Daphnia pulex: one gene and its partner. The protein of the gene in region 2 interacts with the protein of the main gene of each other region in a biochemical or structural test. Links are inferred from orthologs where the notes say so. Each region holds a gene or a part of one and is shown on either strand. Other genes may lie near its edges.

Region 1 (3,658 bases), on a different chromosome or scaffold from region 2:
GTCTGACCTTTTCTCTTAAAAAGAAGATGTCACTGTGGCTTTTTTTTTCGCTGACTGGACACGATAAATTATTACATGAAAACCCCAGTGTTTTCGTCCCAGATACCCACGGGGTCCGCCATTCCTGACCAACAGTCCCGACCCCCCGCATGTCTCACCTGAGGAAAAGAGGAAAAAAAAGACCTTTTTCATTTTTTTCTTTTTTTTTCTGGGGTTCCCGCCTACTATTTTAAACATTTTTAGTTTTTTGGGTCGCCCTTCAACAAATCTCGTAGCTGCCGTTATACACGATGTTACATATAATAGCCTTCCACCTTGTGCTTTTAACTTAAGATGTCATTCTCTGATGACCTGAACCATTTAACGGCCCGTGTCGATCCCCGGGGAGTCTTAGGGGTATTTAGAAATTCCAACAATTTACACATTTTTAATTGATCTACCTGGAAATGAACGGCAAAACGCTATTTGTGTTTGCTTTCGAAATAGGTATCTAGAGGCAAATTTTTTCTTCTTTCACCCATCTTCAACTATTGATAAATCGTATACTAGCTTGTTTCGTTAATCCCGCAAGACCTGTTGCGCACGCAACGCCTCGGGACTCCTGGACGCTCGAGCGAAATGGCCATCTCTCTTTCCTTCTCTTTTTCAGCTTTTATCGCTGTACCCAGTGGTAACAGCAGCAGCAGCAGCAACAGGATGAATTTATTTCCTCGAGGAGAAGAAGAATAAAAGGAAGGAAAAAAAAGGCATATTGGGTAATCTCTGCGGCCTTATCGACTGTAACATACAATCTAGCTGGCAACCTGAAGACGAAAGAGAATGAGAGGGAAGATAAAAAGGAAAAAAAGGGGAGAACGCCGATAGATAGTGAACGAGAGAGAGAGAGAGAGAAAGAAAGAGCTATTTGCATACTAAGCAGACAAGGCCCTTTCTCTCTTTTTCTTTAGTCGTCTTGGATTACAGCCGGACAAAATGTGTGTTTTACAAATTTCTCGTGAAACAGAGTGGACAAAAAAAAAATCGCCATCGGTCCGTTACCCAGACAATGATAACACGAATTCACAATCTCGTTTCGCTTAATTATAATCAAGTTTTTTTTTTTCAGAGGGTTTAGGGAGAATAATTTTTATTTATTTTATGATTCTCTTGTTGGATAGAATTGAATATCCCCCCTTCATCGGTTCTTTTTTTATTAGTATTATTATTTGTTTTGCTGTGACGCCTTTTTCCCTCTCTGGATTGGATTGGCGTGGCGACCCCCCCACCAACCAAACAAACATAAACGAGGAAGACTAGTTAAAAAAACAGGACATTTTATGTGATTTGGGTGCTGCAGACTGCGCAACTGCCACTGGACGGGCAACAAAGGAAAGTTACGAGCCCATTGCAAAGGTCCGACGGTTTCGAATTTTTATGGAGGTCATCAAAAGTGAAAGAAAGAAAAAAAAAGGGGGTCTGCGTGTTGTTGAGCGACACGGCCGAGGACGAGTCGTTCGGATCATGCAGCTTAGACGTGTGTGTGTGTATGTGTGTGTGTGCCGTGCCCGTCTCTTTCCGCTAGTTGTACCGGCCGAAAAAGAAAAAAGAGTTATGACGCGCTCCGCCCCCTACTTCCAGCAGCCCCCCCTGCACCACCATCACGTAAGAGTACATCATCATCATCATCACAGGAGCGGTCAGAAGCGTTCAACAGGGCCGTCGAAAACACACAAAATCGTGATCCGACACAGTTTTGCGACTTTGTTGCTGTCGATCTCATGACACTCGTGAAAACGGATCGTAAATTATGTCCCACGCGTTCGTCTTTTATTTTATTTTTCAAAAAAAGAGGAAAAAGAGACGCGCCCGGTAATTTACGATGTTTGAAAAAGAAAAAGGAAAAAATGAAATGAGCGGGAGGGCGCGGACTTACCGGCGATGGCCATCCACGGGTAGAATGTATGGGCAGACGATTGACTCTGTGGCGATTGCTGCTGGCTAATGGCGTGGCTGGCGTGCTGACCGCTCGTGTTGTGGTTGCTGTGCTGTTGAACCGAGTTGTGTTGGTGTTGTTGCGAGTGTTGCGTGTTGTGCTGGGACACGACGCCGACGCCGCCGCCGCCTCCGTGCTGCGGCACCGGCGCCTGAACGGCTGTGGTGGCGTTGAGGGAGCACGGGCTCCACGGGTTGTTGTTTGGACCGACCGAGTTGGCCGGGCGAGGGGTGACGGCGCTGATGGCCGCTTCCGGCCCGACTCCGACGCCGCCAGAGACGTTGGACACGACGCCCGGGTAACCGCCGCCGCCTCCGACGACTCCGCCACCGCCGCCGCCCACCACGCCTCGGTTGTTGATGTTGTTGTGTCCGTGACCGACGGAACCCACTCCGACACCCCGGTCGTTGACTCCACCTTGCTGGGCCGCTCTGGCCGCATCGGCCGCCGCAGCCGCCGCCGCCTGCGCCCACGAACTGATGGCCGAATTGTTGTCGGATTTGACGTTGATGCCCGCCGAACTGTAGCCGTTCTGGTCGGCTTTGCTGCAGTCCAATTTGTACTGTTGCTCGTAGAGTTTGCAGGAAGCGGCCGCTGCGGCCGCCGCCGCAGCCGCCGCTGTCGACTGGTCGTAGGAATCGACTTGCTGGCGGGTCACGCCGCCTGAGGGCGGCCCGTAAGGATTGACTCCGAGACCCAACGGGAATCGGTACGCCTGCTCGGCCCCCGTCTGTCCATGTCCACCGTAGAAGCCGGACTGTTCAAAGTACGAGTTCATCATTTTCGATCAACTTTTTCGCTTTACCAATTTTTTCTTTCGTCTTATCTTGTCCACCACCGAAAAAAATTCGTTCACTTTAATTCGCCACACCAAATCCAATTTCACAAATTAAAAAACGAAAAAAAAAAAAATAATTTGTAACACTCAAGGTCCGATTTTGACTCAACGAACGAATCGTTGACGACTGCACTGATGAGAAGAAGGGAATACACTGAGTGAGAGAGTGGCAGACTGTACTATTCAAACTGTGTGCCGTGATGGGACTCGGTCCCGCGCGCTCAAAGGGAAGAGAGAAGAGAGGAGAGGACACACTGGGCACACGCTTGCGTCGGAGTCTGCTGATAGCGATCAACTAAAGCCGTCTGCTGTACGCGGGACTCTCAAAAGGGTGCCGGGCAAAGACACGGAGGCCTCTATAATGGGGGTATGAGTAGTAGTAGTTGTTGTAGTAGTAGCGGCGGCGGTGGCGGCAGCAGCAGCAGCCGGAGTCGAAGAGGTGGGGTCTACTCTCTCGCCTTGGCGGGGGGTTGGCTGCGAGAGCCAATGAGCGATCGTCGTTTGGGTTGCTGCACGCATCCGCTTTTAATGGCTCTGCGGCCGCGGGTCGGGCCTGCGCTCTGTGGTGGCCACAACCATCATGACGGGCACGAGGGGCGATTGGGGTGGGATGAGGGGGGAGGAGCTTTGCCTGGATTCTTTTGGTGTTTGTCGACGGAAGGACACGCCCACTTCGCCCCTTGTTGGAAATGGAAGAGTCGCCAGCGCCACTCTACGACGATTCCAGCTACCGCGTAACGACTGCACACACACAATACACACAACAGGATACTTTCGAGTAAGATGTAACAGCTTTTTCGTTGATTGTGTATGTGTGTATGTTTGTTGCGTAGAAAACAGCGGGCCCG
Region 2 (3,758 bases):
AATTGATTACAATGCTCAGTTTAAGGCATTTTCAGAAAATTAGAAGAATTAAGGTAATTTGGTTTATAGCTTCAAAACTGTGTTTTTCAACATTCATTTTCTGCTACTATTCAGACATGTACACAAAATTACGTAAGACGATCAGCCTCAAGCTATGGGCAAAGAAATGCTGTAGATATCGGAATTCACGGTTATTCGTTATTGGTAAGATAATCGATTTTAAAAATAAAACGTACATATAGTTCTTTAACAAAAAATTGATCCAATAAATGTAGGCTATTCCAGCCATCACTTTCGGCCTTGGGACCTGGCAGATTTTCAGACGTCAGTGGAAACTTGGTGTTATTGATCATCTTGCCAGCAGAACGTCTGCACCACCAATTCCATTTCAGTCTACAGAGTGAGACTGATACAATTCTTTAACTCTACCCTTTTATGCATATTTACACCAATGCTCTACAGTATTGAAGGGCTATCTGACATGGAATACCGGAAGTTTGAACTCCATGGAAAATTTGAACATGACAAAGAGATTTACATTGGGCCAAGATCACTGGTTGGAAATGAAAAAAATGAAGGTGGTGGGATGTTGTCTTCAGGGCAGAGTGGCTATTTAGTCATCACTCCATTTAAACTATCAGATTCCAAGTAAGACATTCAAACAGTTAATTTTCTCAATTTTCTACAAGTTACTTTTAGTCTCACAGTTCTTGTAAACCGCGGATGGATTCCTCGTAAAAAAATGAATCCATTCACCAGACTAAATGGACAAAGAGAAGGCGAAACAAAACTGATTGGAGTGTACCGCTCTAATGAAAATCGCCCCCAGTTTGTACCCCAAAATCAGCCCAAAGACCGCATGTTTCATTTCAGGTAAAGACAATTATATTTTTCGCAAAGTTAGATAACTTCATATATATTGCGTACAGAGATGTGGAGGGAATGGCTCGGCTTCTAGACACTGCGCCAATTTTCTTTGACGCGGACGCTGATAGCACAGTACCGGATGGACCTGTAGGTGGACAAACAGTTGTTACTGTTAGAAATGAACACGTTTCGTACATTTTAACGTGGTATTCATTATCAATTATCACAGCATTTTTGTGGCATCGACGATTTATCAAGAAAATGCCTCTTATGTAACTTAAATGTATTTATCTTCATAGAGGTTAAAGTCAAATTAATACATTTTAACATCAAACATCATTATATTTTTACTCTTGTTGCGTTTTCATTTGTAAAAATAAAATTTTAATTAATAAAATTCAAAATAAAAAATAAATACAGTATCGCGAGTTTCTAGTACATCGATTATTGGCTTACCCGATATAATTATCGATACTTACCTTTGTGATCGCGTTCTCGCGTCTTTTTTGCTTTGTCCCGTCGATAATCTCGGCGATCTCTGGTAATTATTTTATGAGCCTTTGAGAAATGTGATTCAGTCTGTTTGAATACTAAACAACTCGTGAATTCCCGGTTTCAAATTGTGTGTCAAGTCAGTAAAGAAAGTTTTTATTCTAATTGAAAGAAATACGCTACGCAAGCAAACTTCTCTTCCATGGCGGACGCTTGTCGCCTTGGGCATTTTATAAGACGTTGGCATTTTTATATTAACCGAAGCCAATTTTTGTTATTTACGATTGCTTTCTTGCAATACTAGTGCTTTGTTGTGTCTAGTACATTTCATTTTATGTTTACATTTCATGAAATCACATGTATGGATGTTAGTAAACGGAAAGTCATTGTTTACAGGGTCTTTATTGCCAGGTCCTGTAGCCTGAAGGCAATACGTTTTGTGCAGTGACATTGGAAGATTTCATTGCTTTTGATGGATGATCCAAATCGACTTATGCATCCTGTTCCAGGTGGCCAGGTTGGACTAATGCATCAGCCACCGTATGGGTTACCTCCTGTCAATGTCGGAGTCAATGTTGGGGTTAACATGGCTTCACTTGATGGAGGGAACCAAGACTCTGAAAATATGACTGGACGAAAGCAGGTGTGTACAATTCCATTTCCAAAATCTTTTTTTCCTTTTAAGTAAAACTTCTTTTTTTTTAGGATATTGGAGAAATTCTGCAACAGATCATGAACATCACAGACCAGAGTCTTGATGAAGCCCAAGCACGCAAGCATACCCTGAACTGTCATCGCATGAAACCTGCTTTGTTTTCTGTCTTGTGTGAAATCAAAGAGAAAACTGGTAACCCTATTTCAATATGAATCCAAGTGATTGAATGGTAACATTAAATTGTGCTCTCACTTTAGTTTTGTCGCTACGCAACACGCAAGAAGAGGAGCCTCCAGATCCGCAACTCATGCGGTTGGATAACATGTTGATTGCTGAAGGAGTAGCTGGTCCTGAAAAAGGAGGTGGGGCCGGTGCTGCTGCCAATGCATCAGCTGCAGCGTCTCAAAGCGGCTCAATGTCGGACTCGGCTATTGAACACTCTGATTATAGGGCTAAGTTGGCACAAATTCGTCAAATTTACCATCAAGAGCTTGAGAAATATGAGCAGGTACACATTTTTAGCAATGCTTATTTTTTTATTGGACCTCTATGACAAGAAAATGGAGAATAACCATTTCATTTTTACATCCGCTTTCAGGCTTGCAGTGAATTCACCACCCATGTTATGAATTTGCTCCGAGAACAATCCCGTACTCGTCCGATTACACCCAAGGAGATTGAGCGGATGGTTCAGATCATTCATCGCAAGTTTAGCTCCATCCAAATGCAGCTGAAGCAAAGCACTTGCGAGGCCGTTATGATTTTACGATCTCGTTTCCTCGACGCCAGGTAAATTTTGCTATTTTTTTAAGGTTTGACCACGCCCATTAAAGGTGTTGTTCTATCGATGTCTTCATCATGTAGGAGGAAGCGGCGTAACTTCAGCAAACAAGCTTCTGAGATCTTGAATGAGTACTTCTACTCGCACCTAAGCAACCCCTACCCAAGTGAAGAAGCCAAAGAAGAGCTCGCTCGTAAATGTGGGATCACCGTTTCACAGGTTAATTTCTTTTTAAATCCTTTTAAGAGGAATAAGCGCATTAATGTTTTGTTATTTTTACAAAAAAGGTTTCGAATTGGTTCGGTAACAAACGAATTCGTTACAAGAAAAACATTGGAAAAGCCCAAGAGGAGGCCAACCTGTATGCTGCTAAAAAGGCCGCGGGTAGTTGTTTCCACTCTGAGGATTTTCAAATCCTCGTATTACCGGAGCGATTCTAATTTTCGTACTTTTTCTTTCTCGTTAGGTTCCTCGCCATACAGTATGGCTGGAACTCCCGGACCGATGATGTCGCCTCAACCTGGTGGTCCTGAACTCAGGGGTCCACAAGATTCCTTAGGCCCGTACGGTGCTATGGGACTCAACGGTGGTGACTTTCCTTCCTCCATGGGCGGCCAAGTAAACTACTTTTAATGACTTAACTAGTGGTATCTCAGCATATTAATTAATGTAAACGTGTTTGTAGGGCTATGGCGATTCATCGATGGGTTATGATCCAAGTATGCATCAAGTGAATTCACCCTGAGGGGTGGACGAGTGCCCCTTCTCCTCCTCCACCCTATTTCTCGGCAAATCAACTCTTAATTTACTAACTTCATCAGATCTTGATCATACTGTGCGTTACAAGCTATCTTCAGCTGTTCGATTAACTCGTTCTAACCCATCTCGTACTCCTTCTTTTGTCCCTTCCTCTCAGTGCAGCTTTGTTGTTTCGTCTTGATAGAAAATGTTTCTGTGGATCAC

What was found.
Region 1: the proteins of homeobox protein extradenticle-like (region 2) and homeotic protein ultrabithorax-like are reported together in a solved structure, tested with the Drosophila melanogaster proteins (2 studies listed by BioGRID). The link is inferred for Daphnia pulex from reciprocal best matches to the Drosophila melanogaster genes exd and Ubx.

What each region holds. Positions count from the first base shown.
Region 1 is NC_060024.1:12,346,380-12,350,037, reverse strand, and holds part of homeotic protein ultrabithorax-like, read right to left. Parts: 5' UTR 2,754-3,658; coding exon 1,913-2,753; intron 1-1,912. UniProt on the Drosophila melanogaster protein: Sequence-specific transcription factor which is part of a developmental regulatory system that provides cells with specific positional identities on the anterior-posterior axis. Binds the consensus region 5'-TTAAT[GT][GA]-3'.
Region 2 is NC_060023.1:11,356,105-11,359,862, forward strand, and holds the start of homeobox protein extradenticle-like, read left to right. Parts: upstream 1-1,321; 5' UTR 1,322-1,408; exon of another isoform or gene 1,409-1,498; intron 1,499-1,755; 5' UTR 1,756-1,831; coding exon 1,832-2,002; intron 2,003-2,064; coding exon 2,065-2,206; intron 2,207-2,271; coding exon 2,272-2,522; intron 2,523-2,612; coding exon 2,613-2,803; intron 2,804-2,878; coding exon 2,879-3,014; intron 3,015-3,082; coding exon 3,083-3,182; intron 3,183-3,261; coding exon 3,262-3,413; intron 3,414-3,480; coding exon 3,481-3,540; 3' UTR 3,541-3,758. Other genes in the region: surfeit locus protein 1-like, read left to right, coding at 12-53, 115-204, 276-400, 463-648, 700-873, 930-1,143. UniProt on the Drosophila melanogaster protein: Transcription factor which acts with the selector homeodomain proteins altering the regulation of downstream target genes such as wingless (wg), teashirt (tsh) and decapentaplegic (dpp), thus affecting segmental identity.